Neurospora crassa OR74A: one gene and its partner. The protein of the gene in region 1 purifies or fractionates together with the protein of each later gene. This does not show direct contact. Links are inferred from orthologs where the notes say so. Each region holds a gene or a part of one and is shown on either strand. Other genes may lie near its edges.

What was found.
Region 2: the proteins of NCU02675 (region 1) and NCU07393 purify together in Saccharomyces cerevisiae (affinity purification with mass spectrometry, with the first as the bait; 3 studies listed by BioGRID). This does not show direct contact. The link is inferred for Neurospora crassa OR74A from reciprocal best matches to the Saccharomyces cerevisiae genes RCL1 and NOP14.

Annotation. Positions count from the first base shown.
Region 1 is NC_026501.1:3,160,342-3,171,215, forward strand, and holds NCU02675 (RNA-3'-phosphate cyclase), read left to right. Parts: upstream 1-5,374; 5' UTR 5,375-5,574; coding exon 5,575-6,795; 3' UTR 6,796-6,890; downstream 6,891-10,874. Other genes in the region: NCU02674 (hypothetical protein), read right to left, coding at 2,471-4,972; NCU02676 (hypothetical protein), read right to left, coding at 6,923-7,727, 7,813-8,129; arg-3 (carbamoyl-phosphate synthase large subunit), read left to right, coding at 10,497-10,836. UniProt on the Saccharomyces cerevisiae protein: Does not have cyclase activity. Plays a role in 40S-ribosomal-subunit biogenesis in the early pre-rRNA processing steps at sites A0, A1 and A2 that are required for proper maturation of the 18S RNA. RCL1 activates BMS1 by promoting GDP/GTP exchange.
Region 2 is NC_026501.1:6,081,621-6,093,234, forward strand, and holds NCU07393 (rRNA maturation protein), read left to right. Parts: upstream 1-6,075; 5' UTR 6,076-6,178; coding exon 6,179-6,478; intron 6,479-6,537; coding exon 6,538-6,984; intron 6,985-7,042; coding exon 7,043-9,031; 3' UTR 9,032-10,778; downstream 10,779-11,614. Other genes in the region: NCU07395 (DNA-binding protein SMUBP-2), read right to left, coding at 1,034-1,127, 1,220-1,440, 1,680-3,024, 3,185-3,735; NCU07394 (hypothetical protein), read right to left, coding at 4,286-4,923, 4,977-5,349. UniProt on the Saccharomyces cerevisiae protein: Involved in nucleolar processing of pre-18S ribosomal RNA. Has a role in the nuclear export of 40S pre-ribosomal subunit to the cytoplasm.

The DNA of each region.
Region 1 (10,874 bases):
AATCGACGACACCCGGAAACGAAACGGCCTTTTCTAGCGTAGCATAAAGTGAGCCCCTAGCCATAGCGACACCCACCCACCGACGTTGTCGTCGTCGACTGGTGCTTGCATACAGCCGACCGGCCCATGCATCCATACATGCATGCATACAAAAAATTTGGAATCGCGGTGAGCAGAATTTGCCCTGCAAGTACATACCCAGATCACTGTGTGATGTAGGCCTATCTCTCTGCCCCGGCAGGCAGGCAGGCCGTACGAACGTTACCGGATCCAGACTACGCAGTATAAGCACCGTATCGTCCATCGTCGTCGTTTGGTCTCGTGGAGTCGTGGAAGATTGCCATACCTCTACTCCCCACTTCTCGCGTTCCTGGGTACTATTCCCTACCAACCAGATGATGGTAGATGGGGTTTGTGATGCGGTGTTCTATATGTACTACTTCGGCCTTGCTCGTTCGAAACTTTCAAAGCGGCGTAACATTTGATGTACCTGGTCTTGCTGAAGATGGGATGATATCGACGGTGAGAACGATGAGCGATGATGATGACGACGACGACGACGACGACGCCGGTAACAATAATCACAAAAGATTAAGTCCGACGACCTACCTAAGCCCGGCAATGTTTCTCCATGCTTCAACTCGAAGGAAATGCTTTCTCAATTGTTCTTCATCCTTCATATCACATGCTTCATACCCTCGCCCCCCCACTCTTGTTTCTCCCTTTCTCCTCATCCCGACCCATATTCTGTTCTGTTGCCTTATGCTATTCCATGTTATGTTATGCCTATTTTCATGTCATGTTATGTGTGTTATGCCCTGTCCAGGAACCCTCCGTAATCCATTTTTACCCCATCCCGCCGCCAATCATCATTTCACCAAAGAAGAGACTTGCCTGGACTCCTACCCAAAGAATCGGTACAGTACATACAGATGGAACCGCGGAACCGCGGCCTTGCCTAACCTTGGAGAGGAAGTCCCGAGCACCACCAGTCACCACAACAAGTTAGATACATACTACAACACTACGCATCTTTTGAGGGTTCAAAGCGGAGTTTTCGGAGTTCCCGGGGACCTGGGTCAACAAGTGGGCGATGGGCGGTGGGCGCGCGCGCGCGCGCCCTGGTTTCCTATGGTAGTATTTAGTGTCTGGGTAGCATACCCTGGGGCTAGATGTTCCACGCGACCAGGGCCAAAATTTCTCGCTTGACCTACGGTGTCGACTCGGGCGAAAAGAAAAAGAAAAAAAAAGAAAAGAAGAAAAAAAATCCCACGGTGAGACCTGGATGGATGGATGGATGGATGGATGGACCCCGAGGAAGATGAAATGGAACGTTCGGAAAGCTTGGCCACGTGATTGTTGTGGCCTGGCCGCCTGACTTTTTGAGACGGCCTAGCTTCTCCCCGAGAGAACTCAACGGTGAACTGGGCGGTGGACGGATATCCGAGAGGGAGTGTAGTGTAGTGTAGGGTAGTGTATACCCTGCAGAGATGTGGTCCCGTGATAGACTGGGTAATTTGCTGTGTGGACAAGGCGGTACAGGCAAAACAGGACAAGATGAACACGGAGCATTGAGAGCATGAGTGAGTGGTGACTAGGTAGATAGCGAGATCCATCCATGAGGGCTCTATGCAAATTAGAGCCACATATGTACTACATTGTGGCCCTTGATGTTGTATTGACTTCTTTGAGGGGGAGTATGGTGGTCTCGAGAGATAGGTGTGGCAATCAGAAAGACTCTAGTGGCTGACAGTCTGGAGCATACACTCTGAGAGTCGATATTGCCTGTATCAGAATTGAATTTGCCTAGGCTTTACGAGTCAGTGCAATATATGGGTTGTGTGGTTACATGTGTTCTATAGAGCCGTTATATAGGAAGGTGAAGGGGGGAAACGCGACATGAAGAGTGAGTTGATCAAGTCCTTTCAGAAAAGAATAGCTAGAGAGTGGAAAGACTTTTTTCACCTCAAGACACACAAAGAGTGTGGTTGATTCGGCTGAGAGTATTCAATCCTCGAAGCGAATGCTCAATCCAATATACAACTTATCTTGTTCAGCCATAGATGATTAGGGTCAAGCTGGAAGATAGAAAAGTGAGAAAAGGGCACAGAGGTGATATCAAGATATAGACACATGAAGGTGACAACTCGTCAATCACTTCAGATCTCTACTTCCATTCAGTGACCATTTCCATACTCAACAGGTGATAACTACTTACAGGTCACGAATCATTGACTATCACAACCGAGTGTTCAGTATTTGTGATATATCCAAGATTGACAATGATTAGAACAAGGGACAAACTCGCAACTGGGTGACATCAGTTCTATGCCATCCTCGTGCTGAGCACATCAGATAGCCGGTGGCCGCCATATGTTCAATGATACTGAGGGTATCCAATGAAGCGATGAGTGCTTTCGGGGGTTTTACATTTTGCTTGTGTTACATTGTATTGTACAAGTGACCATCTTCAGTCGACATCATCTTCAACATCCTTATTTTTCATCACCTTCCTGTACCTCCGAATCACCGCCGGATCCCTCGTAAACACAATATCAAATACGCCCATCTCTTCAGCGGCTTGGGCAAGGATATTATTCACCGCACTCCTCTCCGCGTTTTGAGCATGCGCCTTGACCAAGACCAGCTCTTCAAAGACGGCACAAAGCTGGTTGTCCTTCTCCTGCGTCGTCATCTTGGCAGGGTCGCCTCCAAGGTCGGCGAAAACTTGCGTGTGTTTTCGGATCAAGCTTTCTATCAGTCTGCTGGCTTCCATGATGCGGTCCATGTTGCGCTTGCTCTGTACCCGAAGAGTAGCGGTTCCCGCCGCCAGCTCGATGAGCAGCTGCTCGGGCGGCGAGTAGCTGAACAGCTCCTTCATGGTTCGGGCAGCGACAATCATGCCGGCATGATCCTTGGCCTTGAGCATGGAGAAGAGAACGGTACGGGGGAGGTACGTATACTCGTCAACCGAGTCGAATTTCCAATCCATCTTGACCAGGTCCTGAAAGAACTGCCGGCCAATGACGGCGTCATCTGCCGTCAATTTGTTGTCTCGCCTCACCACGCGGTTCACTGAAAGAGTATTGTAAAGAGCGATGAAGGTGTGTGCATCAGGACGCACGTGCCGTTTCTTGGTCATTTGCTCGTAGAAATCGATGGCCTCTTGCGGCCCCTTGCTCTCGGTATACGACTTGATGATCTGGTTTATCATGAAGCTGTTGGGGCCAAGTTCTGCCAGCTCGAACGCTGTCCACAGTTCCTCGAGCTCATCGTGCAGGCCACGAGCGCTGTAATTCTCGGCAAGAAGAGAAAATGTTTCGACTGTAGCTCTTGTGGTGCAAATGTAATCATCCGATGTTGGTTCTCCGTCACGGGGTACGAGCCGAATTGGCCGGTCCATCGCGGCGGCTCTCCGACGCAGGTCGACGAAGTCCAGACGGGCTTTGATCATGGCCCAAGCCAACTGGTCAGCCTTCTCTACGTTATCAGCAGTTTCTGTCCTGAGCCAAGCGCCTACCAGGCCGTTGAGCTGGATGGGCGAGGCGGCAACTCCCTTTTTTTGTAGGAACGTAACCACTTTGTAGGCTCCGTCGAGGTCTCCTGCTCCTATTAGCCTCTTCAGCCATTTGCCGAGGAAGAAGTGGTTGCCGACGATGGTCGGTAGTCTGGTCTTGCCGCGAATATCCATGGGACCCGAGAACATCATGTCGACAAAGGCCTGCAGCGCATGTTCGATGTGATTTACCGCCAAAAAGCAAGCGATAACTTCATCGTAGTCCTCGATCTGCATGGTGTCTCCGAGAAGCGCTCGCATATCCCTGTACACTTCCCACGCTTCCTCGACGTTTTCCTCCTTTGCTGCCAAAGCCCGGACGATGGGTATCATGATGCGCGGGTTAGGCGATTCTGAGGACTTGAGAAGAGTATCCGCAGCTCTCATCGCGCGGTCGGTATCTCCGTGGAGACTGCACATGCGTACTCCCAGCTCATAGTACCCTTTGAATGTTTCTGGTTTGGAGCCGATGGTGACCACGGCTTTCTTCCACGCTTCGATAGCCTCCTCTTGCCAGCCTTCGAGAAACATGGCCTCAATCGCAAGAAGCTGTTGCGAGTCTCTCAGCACCACCCCCGCAGCTTGCATGTCCTTCGCCAAAACGTAGATGTGATGCATCCGGTTCGGATTTTCTACGCCTTCCCCTTCGTGTGACAAAATCATCCACAGAAAATCCCACACCTCGCGCGGCACGTTGGTCCATTGGGTGGCTAATGAACTGCGTGCTGCAGAGTAGTACTTCCAGCAGTCGAACAGGTCTTTCGGCTTGGGGACGCCGCCCTTGACGACGCTGTCGCGCGCAAGGAAGGAGTTCAAGTTGGCTACGGCTCGCTGCCGCACTCCGCTGAAGCCTGGAATGCGCAGTACGCCGTATGACTCGCCTTCTGGACCCGTCTTGCCCTTGTATTTCTCCCTGAGAATCTTTTTGAACTGTTTTCGTAGCTCCTCAGCCTTGTCCTGTTCGGAACCCCCGACCTTCTCCAGGCTATCGAGCATTTGTATTGTCTGGACCATTTTCTGCTCCAAGTCGTTAATGGCCTCGGAAATCTCGCTATCGATGCCGCCACTAACGGCGCCAAACTCGGCACCGTCGCGCAGCTGTCGGTATTGCCCTTCGGTCTCTTCGTTGAAGTAGTTGACCGCAAGGGGTTCGGTTGGACCTTCGTCGGTGTCGGTGGGTTCTCCCTTCTGCGCCTCCCGTAGGAGGGCTTCTTGGAACCTCTGTGCTTGCTCTTCCTCCAGCTGCTTAGTCGTCGTTGGCGCACGTTGTCTGCGAGCGGCGCGGGCCGCACTCGAAGCGTTTCTCGTCAGCCATGGCTGTGGATTTGGGCGGGCTCGTCCTATGCTAGCGATGCATGACTGGCAAACATAGCTGCTTGTTCGACTCAATTCAAGCGCAAATGCTCGGGGAGGCATCGGTGGTTGTTTCGTGTGTCGGGTGGGCTATGGCAGTGTGCTGTAAAGAATGAAGAAAATCATGAGGAGCAATGAAAGAGTTGGAGATGTGGAAGCCAGGTAGAACTGCGGAGGTAGAAGGATTGTGGTGAACTGGAACTTGAAGGTGTGTTCGTCAACTTTTCGTGATGGCGAGAAGCCGGCAACACTTTGTCCTACAGCAGCACGTCCTGGAAGGAACAGCGGCCATCATCGCCCCACCATGCGCTTGCTGCCGCTGTGACTTTTTCTTATCACGCCCCTGCAGTTCCTTATCGACGCGCAGCTCCTGTCGAATAAGTCTTAGGTACCATTTCACCGCCCGGCAGAAACAGCGGGATCCTCCAAAAATTCTGGAGAAAAGCGAATTGGAACGGGGAGACCTGCAGCGCTCGCAAAGGAGCTTTCCAATTCAGAATCATTCGCCATTAAAACCGCGACATACCCATTCATCCATCACCGACGACCACTGCCCGACGAGTTGGGGCGCGATCGCCTACGAAGAATTCAAAAGACTAGGAAATTACACTTTCACACGACTGAGCCCAGGACAGCGTGAAACCAACGACCTGACAACCGCCACCATGTCGGGCGAGAAAACCGACTTCATTCGCTTTACGGGGCACCGCGCCTTCACGCACCGGATCGTTCTCTCGACCCTTACCGGCCGCCCAGTGCACATTTCCAAGATCCGCAGCAGCTCGGCCACACATCCAGGTCTTGCGCCCCACGAAGTCTCCTTCCTGCGCCTTATCGAGGCCATCACCAACGGCTCCGTCATCGATGTCTCGTATTCGGGCACCACCATTACATACCAGCCCGGTTTGATCACCGGCACGGTCGCGGGCGTCAACGCCGGCGCCGTTGGCGACGTAGTCGAGCACACCCTGCCCGCCAACAACACGCGCGGCATCACCTACTTCCTCCTCCCGCTTGCCCTACTCGCGCCCTTCTCCAAAGCCCACATGAACGTCCGCTTCACTGGCCCCGGCGTCATCACCTCGGCCACCCACCTGACCGGCGACATTTCGGTTGACTCCTTTCGCACGGCCGTGCTCCCGTTGTATGGAATGTTCGGCATCCCGCCAGCGCGCATCGAGCTGCGCGTGCTCTCGCGCTCTTGTTCCGGCCCCGGCGGCCGTGGCGGTGGCGGCGTGGTCGAGCTTCGCTTCGCCAGTCAGGTTCGCCTGCCCAAGACACTGCATCTGAATCGGCGCCCCGGCAGGATACGGCGGATTCGCGGCGTGGCGTATTGCACGGGCGTGTCGGCCAGCCACAACAACCGCATGATCACGGCGGCGCGCGGCGTGCTCAACCAGCTGGTCTCGGACGTGCACGTGGCCGCGCAGTACGACCCGGCGCCGCTGGTCGGCGACAAGAGTGGTGCCAAGAAGAAGATCGGTATCGGTTTTGGCCTCAGCTTGGTGGCGGAGTCGAGCGCGGACGGCGTGCTTTACTCGGCTGATGTGGTAGCGCCGCCCGAGGGTGGTGTCGTGCCCGAGGATATAGGCGCAAGGTGCGCGTACCAGCTGCTGGAGGTTATCGCACAGGGAGGTTGCGTCAGTAACGTATCGGCACCGACCTTGCTTACACTGATGGCAATGGGATCGGAGGATGTGGGTCGCCTCAGGTTAGGCAGGGAAGTATTGGCTAGGGAGGAGACAATAGGGCTAGCACGAGACTTGAAGAAATTCGGAGCGGCCAGCTGGGGCATAAGGGATGTCGACGATGACGGTGAGACGACTGATCTAGTAGTCTCGGTCAAGGGTACGGGCGTTGGTAATGTGGGAAGGAAGGTAGCGTAAAGAATTATAAACCGGATGCTTTCTTTTTTGTTGCATGTTCAAGCTCTGTTAGGTCATACTTTTGCTGTATCAAATTCGCTTTCGTGGGTCTCGGCACTAAGTATTAGTGTGTACAAATGCTTTTCCATCATATCCCCCGTCTGGCCGCTCTATTCGTAATCCCAGCAATTCCTCTAACTCCCCGGTTGCCAGCAACGGCGGCCGCATGGAAACCAATGCTTTGGACCGTGTAAGCCGCAGCCGTCTGGTAGTCATTCCCTACCGTACGTATGGCGTGTACCGGATGAAAGCTACCCACACTGGCATTGCCTGACCTCATCACGTCAAACAAGTCTATGCCGGCAGATGCTGGAGAATAGTTGGACCCCAGCCGCTGTTCATCATCCTGCCCCTGACCGCCACGGCTTTCTGCCACCAGGCGGTCTGTTTCGGTCCCTTCTCCATCGCCTAGAGCCATCTCATCTTCCCTATTCACGCCCCGTTCTTCCGCATCCAAAGTCTGGGAAGTCTCCGGCTGGCGCACGCCGTCGCTACCTGATGCCCCCGTCTGCTGTCCAACCTGACCGGGACCAGCCCAGAGAGGTTGTAAGGAGGGATTCACAACCTTGCGCAGCTTCTCCCGCTCCGTATGGATAGCCAACATCAAGCACTGGATAGCCAGTATCACCGCATCGAAGAACAAAGGACCTAGCCTCGTCGTTGGTGGCTTCTGCCCAACGAAGTCGACTATCACGCCCCCGTGTAGATACCCGCGCGTCGCTTCGCCGGCGACTGGTGGTGCAGAGATGATGTGTGCAAGGATGCATATCAAATTCGGTCCGAGGATGGCAAAGACATGGGGACGTTCGGCCGGTAGAAGGACGGGACCCTCTTTCGGGGTAATGAACATGAAGTGTGGAATGATGCGTACGAATAGACGGAGAAAGGAACATCTGTGATGCGAAGAGACATTGAGGTCATTCGTTAGTCATTGGCTATGTTATGCAAAGGATCTAAAGGAAGTGGCTGCTATCGTACTCCATATAGTATAATGTGCAGAGATAGGCAAAGTAGATCATGTCGAGATTTCTCTGCAGGTGGCTCATGAACTGTAGCTTCTTCTTCAGGCCCAATTTGCGCTTCTCCTCCCGTGACGTCTGGTCATCATCATCATCATTATCATCATGAGCGCTGCCGTTCAGCTCCGTGGACCGCTCGTGGTTGTCATTGCGCCGGCTGCCATCCTCGTTTGCATTGTGTGGCGGGATGTGCTGCTGCTGCTGCTGCTGCTGCTGCTGCTGCTGCTCCTGCTCCTGCTGCCGGGCCGCGAAGCTCGGCTCGGAATCATCGTTCATAGCTCGCCGTGGTTTGAGAGGAAGGGTGATCGTTGGCGCATTCAAGAGCTGTGGGTAATAAAAGCTTTCAGCGGCTGTTTGAGCCTCACATATCTGGGTCTATGATTGATTGACGTCAAGGGGGGCCGGCAAACAGAATGTTCATCGAGTAGTAGAAAGCAAATGTGATGATCACGAAGGCGGCAACGAGATGGAGAATGCGCGATGCATTTCACTTCGATGGGCAGCTGTCATCAAGGTCGCCAAGGATGTGCGTGGTGCTGTAGCCTGCCACTGAGGTGCCCCTGCCTCAGCTGTCAGCGACTCAGCGTCACAACAAATGAAGGGACCACAACAGCGAAGGGGAGGGTTGGAGGGGATGCACGCAGCGGCCTGTGCTCATTGGCATGCCAAGACCGACCAGCTGGCTGAGTTCCGGTCCCCGCTGTCGGCCGGGCTTGGGCCGGTGCCGTGGCTTTCGTTCGCCGGAATCCACGCACTTGAGCCCGGAAGCCGCGGGCGGAGGAGGACGGGCCTGGACTCCCATGGTGCAACCGTGAACCTGAGTGGGGGTTACCCCCGCTCCATCAGAGCCCCGGCCTGGGCGCTTGGGGTGACAGACTTGACATCATGGGTGTCTCCAGAAAGGGGAATGTGAAATTTGGTTTGGAGATGGACATTCGCAGTCGATGTCCAGTTTTGTATCTGAGTCACAGCTCAGGATGGACAGTACATAGTGTTCTTCCAATGAGAGGTCTCGACTTACACAAGTGGAAGCTCAAGGGTCTGCCAGGAACCACACTTCCAAACTCCATGTGCGCCCATCCCCCATGTTCATTCACGGCGTGAGTGAAGAAGGAATAAGCTTGCGGATTCTGGAATACTAGTAGTACACCATAGGCCCCCGAAGTACTGTGAGATCATAGGATGGGGTGAGTAATTTGACTTGTGAGCTAGCAGAGCTGATATTAGTGTAGTAAGGTTCCAGTGCTACAGCCGTCGAAACCCGGTCCATGAGTCAAAGTCGCAGGCGGCTTTACTGGCATTGGGAATACAGCGAAGGATCTGAGCTCTTTCGGGAGCAGGCGGATTTGAGCTCTTTCGGGAGCTGGCCGAGGAGAAAATGTCAAGAGGTCAGCATCGGCGAGGCGCTTCGAATTGACTCAGCCGCATGGACACGTCAAAAGCGAGAGATTGATTTTGAAGATCACCAACAAGACCGGCATCGAGGCGTCAACTATCGCCGAATAGACTGGGGCCGCGATGACTCAGCCAATCATGAAACGCGTGAATTTCCTCTCCCCGCCAAAAAGTCGCAGCTCGAAGGGCAATTGGCCAATAACATGTCAGTTACGGCCAATTCAGCCAGTTTCACCGCCAAGGTACATAGTAGTCAAAAATTTGGCGGGGTTTGGGCGTCCAAAAGACAAACCAAACTCGGAGGTTGGAGGTCGTGGGTACCTACTAACCATTGACTCGGTACTAGCCGTCTCCAGTGCCGTCCCGGGAGCTTGTGCCTGTTTTGGGGCCATGGCGTGCATGAGCGAACATCGGACAAACGCTCAACCGACTTCAGATGACACATAGAGCCTGGGGAATAGTAGTGATGTTGTTAGATAGACCGCGCCCGACATGTTGTTATTTTGGCAGGCAAAGTGGCTAGGTAACGAGAAAGTCTCAAGTCTGCCACAAGACACTGATCTAGGATCGCCAGTAGGTGAGCTTAAAATCGGATAAGAATGGGAGGGGGATCTGGCAAGATGCGATGACTGCCCATGCGAGCATCGCAGATCCATGTACATATGCCAGTCAGGTCCCGCACTTCTCGACCGCAGAGGATTCCGGGTCCGCTTCCGTTGTCGGAAGCTACCCAAGCTGGCCCGCGGCCTATCTTGAAAATTTTCCAACAATCCGTCGTCACTTGTTCCCAACCCGCCAGTGCCCGCCATTGCCCCCGGCAAAGGGTGGCGGATGCGCAGAAGAGCGACTCCATTCAGGGCCTCATCGTCGATTGTTCTGTTTGGTGAAAGAGCAAAAGAGTCACAGCCGCCCACCAACAAATCTGGAACCCACCCTGCCGCCGGCCCCGCACATCTCTTATCGGCGCTCCCCACAGCGGCCGGTTTTGGGAATTATTTGTCTCTCTTGTCCCTCTTTCCGTCCAACTTCTCCAGTTTCTTCTCCACTGAAATTAAAAGCGCGAAATTCCGAAAACACGGACGGGAGACTCGAGATTGAGTCAACTGGTCAGGATCCGGGGTCAACAGCTACGTCGTTGTCAGGACTTGTTTGTTGATATACAAGACATCGGCCCCCCGAGACCCTCACGAGGCCTTTCTTGGTCTTTCTTTAATTTTCTTCCACAAACACCTCCCTCCATTGGACATAATGCTGTCGACCGTGCACAAGGCTGGCCGAGCTCCTGCTCTCCTCCGCCATGGTCGGCGGGTTCCCGTCCAGGCGTCCCAATTGAGGGCTCTCACCTCCGGCGCCCAGAATACCTCCATCTTCCAGACACAGGCCAACGCCGCCCAGAGGCTGTCCTCCCAGAAGAGGTGGCTCTCTGCCTCCGCTGCCGCGGCTGCTGCCAGCCAGCCCGCCCCCGACGCGAAGGCTTATATCCAGAGCGGCGTTGTCAAGCCCCGCGACCATGTCGACGTCAAGAAGGTGCTTGTCATCGGCTCCGGTGGTCTTGCCATTGGCCAGGCCGGCGAGTTTGACTACTCCGGTACGTCTAATGTCTTGTCGACTCAGTGAAACCAGACA
Region 2 (11,614 bases), about 2.9 Mb from region 1:
AAAATCGTCTCCTTCCTTCTTCATGATACTATCGAAGCGCTTCTTTTTGTTTTTGTTTTTTTCCATTTCTTTTGGGCGAGAAGATGCCTAAAAAAAGAGGGGACGTCCCCGCTTTGGGTCAGTGATTACTGCGCTTTGACAGGGTTTCCATCAAAATGCATGCAGTCCGGTGTGTGGGGCCATCACGGCTTCCCGCGAAAAAGAAAACTGCAAATGCCCCACTTCTTTCACCCTGAAACTTTGTCAGAGCTTCCTATTCGCTCCTCACTGTGTACACTTCTAACATCTGAGGACTTCTCACTTCGTCCTTTCTCATGCTTCTCCTACATACTCACCTTGCACAACATGGAAGCTGGGAGTGCACAATTCGCATTCGATTGACAGAAAACGATTCATCAGAGACATCGCAAGAAAGCCACTGAGATTTCACCATCCTCGTTTCGTTCTTTCGGGGCGAGGCCCCCGTTCCCCGCGTGCAGATCCACATACCTCAACCGAGTAACCTCAACATCACATCCTCACTTTGTGACTCTGCACAAAGCACAACATTGTATACTCTAAAGAACGAATAGTGGTACCAGGTCGCCCAACACAGATAACGGAGTACAGTATGAAGCGGAATAAGCAGGGGAATATCCCCGAGTGGACAAAAGTGTGCAAATTTAAGCTGAGGTGTCCAAAAAGAGCCTCCTGCCTTTGCCCGTTTCGGCTTCCCAATACGTGGCAGGCCGTGAGCGCATCTCGCTAACTCGATTCGTCTGCCTAGATTCCATGACTCTTTTTGCTTATGTCGCGTGTAGCATCATGATATTCTACTGCCCAGGTACAGGTGCCTGTCCTGAAAAAAAAGTAATGCCAAAAGTCCATCCAGGTGCGGCAAACATGCTGTTTCCGTCGAAGCGTTTATCGGGCCGTTCCTCTAAGAAGCATTTTTACTCGTCCCCTTTCCATGTCTGTGGATTTCGTACCTGGTGCCTGACCTGAGCTCTTTTACCCGCGGCTGCGTCCCTTGCTTATACACGTTGTGTCATTGTCATGAATCCAACGCCAAGCTCGAAACGTCTGGATACCTCAAGTCGGCATTCTCTTCCAAAAACTCCATCCATCTCTTCAGAAATGTGCTGCCCCTGTTGTAACAAAGGGTCGAGTCAGTCATCAAGCCAAGGTAGAGAATGATGTATGTTGTAAAAGTCCTTCATGTCTTGTCATTTCCACTTACTTCTTGACTGTCTCCGAGTCTCCAATGACTGTCAACGACCTCTTCGGCCGCGTCATGGCAACGTTCAGCCGTCGTTTCTCGCCCAAGAAACCGACTTCGCCTTCGTCGTTGCTGCGGACAAGGCTAACGATAACTGCCTCCTTCTCTCTTCCTTGGAATCCGTCCACACTGCCGAGCTCAATACCGGGAAACTCGTCCTTTAGGGGTGCCAGGATGGAGAGCTGTGATCACGCAAGCACAAAAGAAGAGTTGGTCAGTTGTCAAGGCCGTGTAATGTGTTTTTCCATGTCGTGGCATGGGTGCACACAACACGTTGTTTCATGCAAAGCATACGGGCTGCCAGGGTAGGCATTTCTTTTCTTCCTCCCAAAAAAAAAAAGGAACCAAGTAGGGAAAGGGAACAGGCAGGAGCACCAAGAATGAATACGATCAAAGAGGGGGAGAAAAAAAAAAAACTTACCTGAGCATTATACGGCGTCACAACCGCAATGTCATCCGGTCTGACTCCCGCCTTGATCAGGCCACGCACATGCTGTCTTACAAGCGCCGCCTCCATCTCATTGCTTTTACTCTCGCCATGAAGACTTCTAATGACCTTCTTTTTGTCTGTTGATCCGTTACCGTCCAGCTCCTCCTCGTTCTTCTCCGGGAAGTCACCGCCCTGTGTATCAATGAAAATCAGTGGCTCGGTGGTGTCGTCATTGGCCTCCACCCCCTCGTACGGCAAGTCCTTGAGCAAGCGCTCCCTGACATGCTCGGCCGCCACCAGCTTAGACTCGTAAAGCTCGTCCGACGGGAACCGCATAATCTTCTCGTGCATACGGTACTGCGTGGTAAGCATCCTCTTGATTGAGGGGCCATGCAGGGTCAGTAGTCTGTCAAACAGTGTCGTCTCCAGCGTCTGGCCCTCCTTCTTCTCCTTTGTAGTGGCAGCCCTCGAGTTCAACGATTTGATTGTCGGCGGCAGCTGCAAGTGATCACCAGCCAACACCGCCTTCTTCGCCCACAGCAGGGGCACCCAACACTGTGCCTCCAGTGCTTGGCTTGCCTCGTCGATGATCACCACGTCAAACTCCTCGTTCTTAAGCTGGTATCCCCCCGCGCCATGCAGTGTCGCCAGCACAACTTTGCTCCTGCCTACCAGGTCGCTCACGCATCGCCGCTCCCGCTCACGGTACTCCTTGCGCAGCTCCTTCAGCTCTGCGTAGATGGCTCGGCGCTCGCGACCATTGCGCGTCTTGCGGATCGAGGCCTGCTTGGCGTCCATCTCGGCGCGCACGTCTTTGACGATGGCCCCGGCGTCCGAGGTCGTGGTGAGAATGTCGAGCGAGTGCGAGAGGACGGAGGGGAGAAGGCGGGCTGGATGGCCGAGGCGGAGGATGGGCAGTTTGTGTGGCGAGAGTCGCTCGACGATGTTGTCGACGGAGATGTTGGAGGGACCGCAGACGAGGATACGGAGGTCTCGGCGGAGGAGTTGGAGGATTAGTTCGATCAGAGTGTGTGTTTTGCCAGTCTGTAATGGTGGATTAGACATATAAGCGACTGACTGCGGGGAGGGAACGTATAAACATACCCCGGGAGGACCATGGATGAGAGCTATCTCCCTCGATGCTAGTGCAAACCTAATAGCATCCTTTTGTGAGTCGTTCAAAGTAGGATCAACCCAATCAATGTTGCCAACCTCTGGGTCATTAGTTAGATCCGCCGGGACAGGTGAGGGTGATGACTGTCCGAAGAGGACTCGGATGAACATGGAGTGTTCCGACTCGCTCATCTTCTGAAGCTTCTCCATGGTTCCGTTCATCCTGCAATCACCGTGTTAGCTGAGGTTTGACTGTAATCACCATCAAATTCCTGTTCCCCCAGCCTCTGTTCTCTTTTTTGGCTTTCCTCTCATCATCCACCAACCCGAATCGACCTCCTCTCCCCAACTCTCACTCTCGCATCAAATCATCGAAAGCTCACCTCCTATAAGTAACATCATCAGCCAACTTAACCATCCAAACCCTCCCACTGCCCCCCAAACCCCCCGTCCCAACTACATTCTCCTCCCCCTTATCCTCATCCAGCGCCACACCCACCACACCCCTGCCCACCCTCGTCACCACCCCCTTCGCGCCCTTCTTCTCCAATTCCCTGACCTCTCGCTTCTTTGCGCTCCCAGCCGGCTGCTCAGACACTACCACGATATCGCCCGTCCGAATTCCATGTTCTGGTAATTCCGGTCCATCATAGCCCCCACCCTTCTGGCCTGACGATGAAGAAGAAGAAGAAGAAGTGATAGTAACAGTAGCAGAATCGGGCCCGAGTTCCAACACGGTCTTTCCGCCATAGCCGGTCCGCTGGGCATTGACGACTAGGTTGGTCAGGGCCAGGCCGGCGCGCTGCAGGGCGGTGGGCGTGTGCAGCCCGATGAGCTCGGAGTTCTCAGCGATTTCGGCGGCGAGCTCGGAGGAGAGGAGGGTGAGTTGGGTGGAGGCGAAGGAGGGGATGTCGACTGTCTGTGAGGGAGCCATGCTGGTGAGTGGGTGGATGGAAAGAGTGGTGAGGCTCTTGAAATCCGGACACGAGCGGGGCCGGGAGAAGGGACTGTGGAAATGACAGAAGGCCGCGCCGCCGTTCGGTTACAGTGACTCTGTGCGTCGTTTGGCGGGTGATGGTGTATTATGCTAGACGTGTGATCGTTGGAAAAGGCGCAAAGCCCACAGTTCAGGTTGCGGTTTGGTTCAATTGAATCGCAAAATTCATGTGAGCATATTGCAGTGGTTTGTTGTCTTGACGTATTGTTCCTTTCTTGTTAGTGATTTTGGTGGAGTTGCTCGCGAACTGTTAACGATTGAACCCAACGATGCATCTAACCGTGTATTATTCGTTTTGTAAGAGAGCAAACACCTTCATATCCGCCAAAACAAAGGTCATTCTGGATGATTAATACAATTGCTACTCAACCAAACTCAATCTTTCTTATTCTCATTTTGATCTTCCTTATGCGTCCCCGTATTCCTAACACAGAACAAAGCACAAAGCGATGGTAACAATTCCTGTAGTAGTTACTGAGCCGCTCCTCTAAGACTGACCAGGCTCTCCCAAAACCCGCCATTCCGTGTCACGGTGAATAATATCGTCCCTGCCAATCGGCCTAGTCCCATCGTTCACCACAATAGCCTCGCGATTCCGATGTCTAATCCGCTGCTCCTCGGCGCTCGTCTCCTGCGCCCGCGGGGTCCTACCCATGTTAATAGAGAGCAGGAGGTTATAGCGCTCGCCGCTTGTGTCCATGAGGTTCAGGTTATCGGCCTGCTCAGCCGCGAAGTCGTCAGCCCCCTCTTGGGACATGAGACCACATCTGACCAGCACCGACCTTCCCGATCCAGTTTTGCGCACCGCATCCGCAAGCCTCTTGATCTTGTTGTCCCTGTACAGCATATAGTTGTGGAAGTTGCGCTGTCTGTCTTCCTCAGTCCTGCCCCAATTTTGCCTGGATAGCCAACGCTCAACGAACTTGGAGCGGATCAGCATCTCTGGCCCGTAATGATCGACCAGCTGCTCAAGAAAGATGAAGCACATTTTTTCGGTGATATCCCTCAATGGATAATCGTCCCATCCATCATTCTCGAGAACCTCCTGCTCCGGGTCGAGGGAGAGCTCGAGGCACCGGACTATGGCGGAGTATGCTTTCCAAGTGTGAAGCATGGGGAGAACTCCTTGAAGCCGTGTTAGTGAGTTGGAAACTTTCAAGCAGTGTTGAGATACTCACGAGGGACGCAGATGACAGCCAGAGCCCTCAAGTTCTTGACACGCTCGTCATAATCTGGACGGGTGATGCCCCAGAGCAACGTCTCCAGGAGGCCGGGGTCATTTGCAGCCCTATCACAGATTATCTTGGCAGCCGTCTCCTTGATGGCGTAGTTGTAGTGGCCCAGCAAGGTGTCCAGCGTCTTGAGCTCGAGCGAGTCCTCGGTCTGCTGCGTGATGTACTGCGTCTTTGGCGGATTGGGGGTGACAATGGTCTCGTCTCGCCATCTTGTTAGCCAGGTGTTCATGGCGAAGATGATCAAGCTCGCCGTGACGAAGCCAATGCCGGTGAAGACGACCCTCTCATCTCGGAGAACCGACGATTGCCAGCCCATAATAACGGTATGGTGATGAAAGATGATGCTTCAGCATAGGTAGTTTGACTTTTATGTGTTGTTTTCTTTTTCTTTTCATCACATCGCGACTTTGAGATTGAGACGGAACACTGAAAAAAACCAAAAATAAAAAAATAAAAAAACCATGAGCAGCCCGAGGATGACGATGGAGAGCTTCACTTCTGGTCAGTGGAGTGACACCCGCTGTAGAGCGGGACAGTCTATCCAGGTCCCAAATTTCCCACCCTAAGCATTTAGTCAAGCATGTATCCCAAGACCTTTGTACTTAACAATACATTCAACTTTTTGGATCCTCCACCAAGAAAATTGGGAATTCTTTTATCTTTGCAAGTCAAATACTGCTGGGAAACTCCTTTTCGCAACTCAGCTGGCCCAAAAGGGGGCTTTTTGGGTGAAATGCTGCATCCTGGGTTGCAGAGCACATTTGGTCGAGTGACATGTCTTGAGAACAAAAGAAGTCTGTGCACTTCCTTAAAAGGGTAAGTTTTTGGGACCTGGATAGCATCGCCCGTAGAGCTTCGTCTTTTAGCAGCTACAGTGCAGCACGGGCAGGCCAGGATGCTTCTGCTGCCCGCGCCTGTGGACAATACTACTTGTATGTAGGTAGGTAACTGCCAAGATTTTAGAGGTGGAGCATGACGATAAGATAAGCACCCTTCATCACCAAAATTTCTGAGAAGGAACCAACCGCCAAAGACAACCTATTGATTGCTGGTCTTGCGATCGAACCCGCTTCGCGACGCCCTCCCTCCCTCTTTCTTTCTCAATACTCCCCTGTCAAGTCGACAGTCGAGACATCTCAACAAACATGGCCGGGTCTCAGCTCAAGAGGCTGAAGGCCTCCCTCAAGGACCAAGGCATCATCGGTCCCCAGAGATCCAAGAAGCAAAAGCGCCAAAACGCCCAGGACGCGAAGGCTTCCACCGACAAGCGACTCCAGCGCCACGAAGCTCTCGCCAGCATCAGAGAGCAGTTCAACCCCTTCCAGTTCAAGACCAACGCCAGAGGACCCAAGTTCGAGGTCACCACCAACAAGCCCCAAAATGATAAACTCGCCAAGGGCATTCAGGGCCGCCCCGGCGTTGCGAAGGCCACCGCTGAGCAGAGGGTTTGTCGATCCCACTCAGATCGATTTACTGGTTCTGATGCTAACTGTGCCATAAACAGCGACGGGAAACTCTACTGGTTGAAATGCAGAGGCGCAACAAGGTCGGCGGCATTGTCGATAGGCGTTTTGGCGAGGACGACCCCAACATGACCCTGGAGGACAAGATGATGGAACGTTTCGCGCGCGAGCAGATGAAGAGCCACAAGAAGAACACCGTCTTCGATTTGGAGGGTTCCGATGACGAGCAAGAACAGGTCACCCTTACACACGCTGGCAAGACTCTCTTTGACGACGACGACATTGAGGCGGGTCGTGACGATTTTGACGAGGACGTTTCCGATATGGAATCCGACGATGAGCGGTCAGCCAGAAAGAAGTTCCTCAAGCGCCTGCGCGCTGAGGAAGAGGCCGCGGAAGGTGAAGGAGAGGATGGACAACCGGAGAGGAAGAAGACGAAGAAGGAAGTTATGGAGGAGGTTATCGCCAAGTCAAAGGCCTTCAAATACGTAAGGGGCACCGCTAAGCCGGCTACTTCCACTCATCAGCTAACAGTAATTGCTACAGGAACGACAAGCAGCCAAGGAGGAGGACGACGATCTAAGAGTGGAACTTGACAAGGAACTCCCAGAATTGCAGTCCCTACTCTTCCAGATGAGACCGAAGGAAACGAAGGACCCCAAGGGCCCCTCCGTTATGGCAGGAATCGACATGGACCAACTTGAGAAGGAATACAACATGCGTCTCAAGCAGGCAGCGCGTGAAGCCAGGGCCGAGGTTACCGACAGGACAAAGACCGACGAGGAGAAGGCGGAGGAAGGAGTTAAGCGTCTCAAAGAGATGGAGGAAAAGCGACTCAGGCGCATGCGGGGTGAGATCGTCTCGGATGACGAGGAGGAGGAGGAGGAGGAGCAGAAGAAGGGCAGGAAGAAGGGAGACGACCAAGAGGTACAAGACGAGGCCGACGAGGACGAATTCGGCCTCGGCAAGGGTATCAAGCTACGAATGACCGCCACCGAGATGGGTCTGGACGACGAAGACGATTTCTTGCTCGAAGACGACCTTATCGCAAGCGGCTCTGAGTTGGATATGGACGAGGACGACATGTCGGACATGGACGGGAGTGATGACGAGGATGCCTATGATCCTGATGAGGACGAGCTTGTGAATGGTGGTGAGGACGGCGAGTCGAAGGAGGTGGCCACAAAACTTCAAGCTCAGTCAAAAGGCGGCGACGAGGACGGCATACCCTATACCTTTACATGTCCCGAGAGTCACGAGCAGCTGCTGGAGATCTTGGGCAGCCTTCCCGTGGCCAAACTTCCAGTGGCTGTCCAGAGGATCAGAGCTCTTTACCACCCCAAGCTGGACGCGAAGAACAAGGAGCGCCTTGGAAACTTCTCCCGGGCCCTCATCGAGCATATCGCTTACCTTGGCGACAACTTCGAGCCCACCTGGTTCCCTACCATTGAGAACTTGATCCGCCACGTCCACTCACTCGCGAAGACCTTCCCGATCGAGATATCCAAGGCTTACAGGTCACGGCTTGAGGAGATTAAGGAGGATCGGCCCCTTGCCCTTAGCGTCGGCGACCTTATGCTTCTGACAGCGATTGGCACAACCTACCCTACTTCTGATCACTTCCATCAGGTGGTCACCCCTGCGATGCTTTCCATCACCCGTTATTTGGGACAGAAAATTCCCCAGACACTCGCCGACTACTCCATTGGTGCTTACCTTTCGATCCTCGCCCTTCAGTACCAATCCTTCTCCAAGCGTTACGTACCAGAATTTGTCAACTTCTGCCTCAACACTCTCTGCTCGCTCGCTGCTGAGAAGCCCAAGGAAAAGCTTGGTCTGTTCCCCGTTCACGAGCCCGCTGCTGGCATCCGTGTCAAGGGTGCAAGCAAGGTGACCGTCAGGAAGCTCAACTGCGGTGACTGCCAGCAGCCCAAGAGCGCTCGCTCCACCAGCGACGACTCCGCTCTGAAGGTTGCCATTATCAGCACCATCACCTCCGTTCTCAGGACTGCTTCCGAAACATGGTGCAAACTCCCCGCATTCTACGAGACCTTCCAGCCCGCCCAGCGCGTGCTCCAACACCTGACAACCAAGTCCAACGCCGCCCAGCTCCCTGCAGCCCTCGTCAAGCAGCTTAAGGACGCAACGACAAGCATCTCCCGCCTCCTCCAGCTCGCCCAGGTTTCCCGCAGGCCACTCGAGCTGCACCACCACAAGCCGCTCGCCATTAAGACGTACGTGCCCAAGTTTGAGGATTCGTTTGACCCCAACAAGCACTACGACCCAGACCGCGAGCGCGCCGAGCTGGCCAAGCTGCGGGCCGAACACAAGAAGGAGCGCAAGGGCGCACTCAGGGAGCTCCGCAAGGACGCGGCCTTCATGCAGCGCGAGAACCTCAAGGTCAAGAAGGCCAAGGACGAGGCGTACGAGAAGAAGTACAAGCGCTTGGTGGCGGAGATCCAGGGATCGGAAGGCCAGGCGGCGAACGAGTACGCAAGGGAGAAGGCGGCGAGGCTCAAGAAGAACAAGAGGTAAATGGCTACTTCTTAGAAGGTTCGGGGGTAGCAGTCGGAGTAAGTTTGTGGTTGGCCGTGTTGTTGTTAGTGCCGTTGTTGTTGCTGTCATGTATACATCATCATCAGCGTTCAGTGCAAGTGCAATATTTGGATCATGGGTTGGAGATACCATGTCTATCATATCATCTACTAGTAGGAGTTTTAAGATCATTTCATCATTTGCCAACCCTCAGTACGTACATTATCTACTCCTGATGTTGTTTACATGTGATGTTTACCCAACCCACCAATTTCATCATGGTACTCATCCCTACCTGGAACTTTCAACACTTCAACGAAACTATGTAATTCCGGTTATCGCTATTGATGGCGGAGCCTCATCTGAAGAAAAAGAAAAGAAAAAGCAAACAACAAATAACAAGAAAATGACTGAAGACAAGGAAACACAGCAGTATGGAGTTGCCCTTCGGTCGGCGTGTCCGTCCCGCGGCTATAATTCAAACAATGCCGTTCTTCAATCACTTCCCCCCCTCGTGCCACCCATACTGTACCTCCAGCGCTGGCCCAACGACTAACTACATAGTTAGTTACGACTTACGAACAATATATAAGCGACCTAAACAACTAACAACCGCCGCACGTTATCGTATAACAATATCACTGGACCCCGAAAACCCCTAACCAGCGAAATCGGCGAGAAAGTATTTCCCAGGTACTCAGGTCCCGGGCGGATGCTTGATCAGTATGTATTTTGCCCAGTCTGAACTTTGTAAACTTTCAAAGACAATCCACATCTCTTTGTGGTGGTTTCTAGACGCTATAGGCGCCGTAGACGATGGTGTTGTGTTCATCGGGGAAGTCGGGCACTCTACGACTCTTTTCATTCTTCTCTCTTTCCTTTGCTACATTCTCAATAGCACGCGCCTTTTCTTCTGAGGGGAAGAGGCAAAGAGAATCATAAGCTGATGACCTAGATTCCGCTCCAGTTGGTAGTTGGGTCGATCGGTTGGTTCCGAGTAAGATCAAGATTCCCGTCCCGTCGTCTATGAGGGTCCCCGTGTCTCCCCAGCTCCAGGTTTCCGGCGGCCGCAAAATGAGCCTCACGCACCTCTCAGTTGATCGAAGGCTGGAAGAATGGATGTCAAGGCGACATGTGTCATTGCGATCTTGACATCGATCGCATCTTTGAAGCCATGGATGACTATCGGTGATCCCGCTGTTCAGGACCGATGATTTCGGCTTGCTGTTTCAGTTGGCTGCCTCTAACTATCACCACGATCATGTGTCAAAGCTCGAAGAAGGAGGTGAAGTAATGAAAACAAAAGAAAAACAAGAAAAAAAATCCCATAACACATCAAAAAGCCAATTCGACTCCGTTCCAGCCTAGGCGCCCTCACAGATACGGCCCCCAAAAAGACAGATATGTCTGGTCCACTCCAACTGTATTCTCATACACAGCCTCTTCAAGCGCGCGCTTAGAGGCGCATGTGGATATGATCACCCCAGAGGCCTCCTGATGAGGCTCTTCCTCGGCAGTCACTCACATGATACTTTGTCAAAACGATGTATTCTTTCCTACTAGAAATCCCATCAGGGTTCACTTTTCGGCTCCCTTTTCCGAGAGCATAGTAGGTCTCAAAAGCGGGTCGCCGGGCTGTGGAAGATTGAGGCTGTGTGCAGTGTTGTTTTGACGTGGTGAGTTTACTAGTTACCTAGTGGGTTTCGAAACATCTAAACGTGCCCATTTCCGCGTATCAACAAAAATCGCCCCCACATCATTGACCGAAATGTTTGGGCAAAGGGGAGGGGACTGGGTGGAAACGGAAGTGGCCAAAGAAAGACAATGTGGCCATGAGATCCTAACGAGTTGGAAGCCATTCACGATCCGAAAACGACGAGTGGTCAAGGCTGAGCCAGAAACACAAAAAACTCCACGATATTTTTCCACAATGAGGTAGATGGACAGATATGGGTGGAAATCATGCCTTCTGCGACCTGTTGAGCTGAACAGTTAATGACATGTCGTTCCAGCCTCACCTCACGTTCATGCTATCAGACATTGTCAACTCTCTTGTTGACCGAATAGACAGACGGCTGCTGCTACTGCTGCTGCGCCTCTACATATATCCAACCAAGCTGGGATCGACCAGCTTAACCAATCCCTGGCTTGCAGTCAACGGCGAAGCCATTAGCGGCAGAGTGAGGCGCGGATACTCAACGGGAGTCGGGAACCGTACCACTAGTAGGGCGATTGCCGGGCGAATTATGACCGCCACCATGCTTCTCCTACCGTGCGGCGGCGTGCAACCTCTTATAATCCAGTTCAACAAAACCTCACTGTCCTTGTCTCGCCGCTTCGAGTCTGTGACCTTGAGGCTGTGAAGTGTCAATTTTCGAGCGGTTGGAAGTAGACAGCATCTGCAAAACTAGTATGGATGCGGCTGGGATCGACCATACCATATAGAATCCGGTAGCGAGATGCTCAGCCGTCCAGCTCCTGTGTTTCCTGGCTCAGTGAATGGTCGTCAGTTATTTAGCTGACTGGTGAACGTTTCGCTTGAAGGGTAAAAGCGGGGTGAGGATTGACTGCGCTACAGTATTC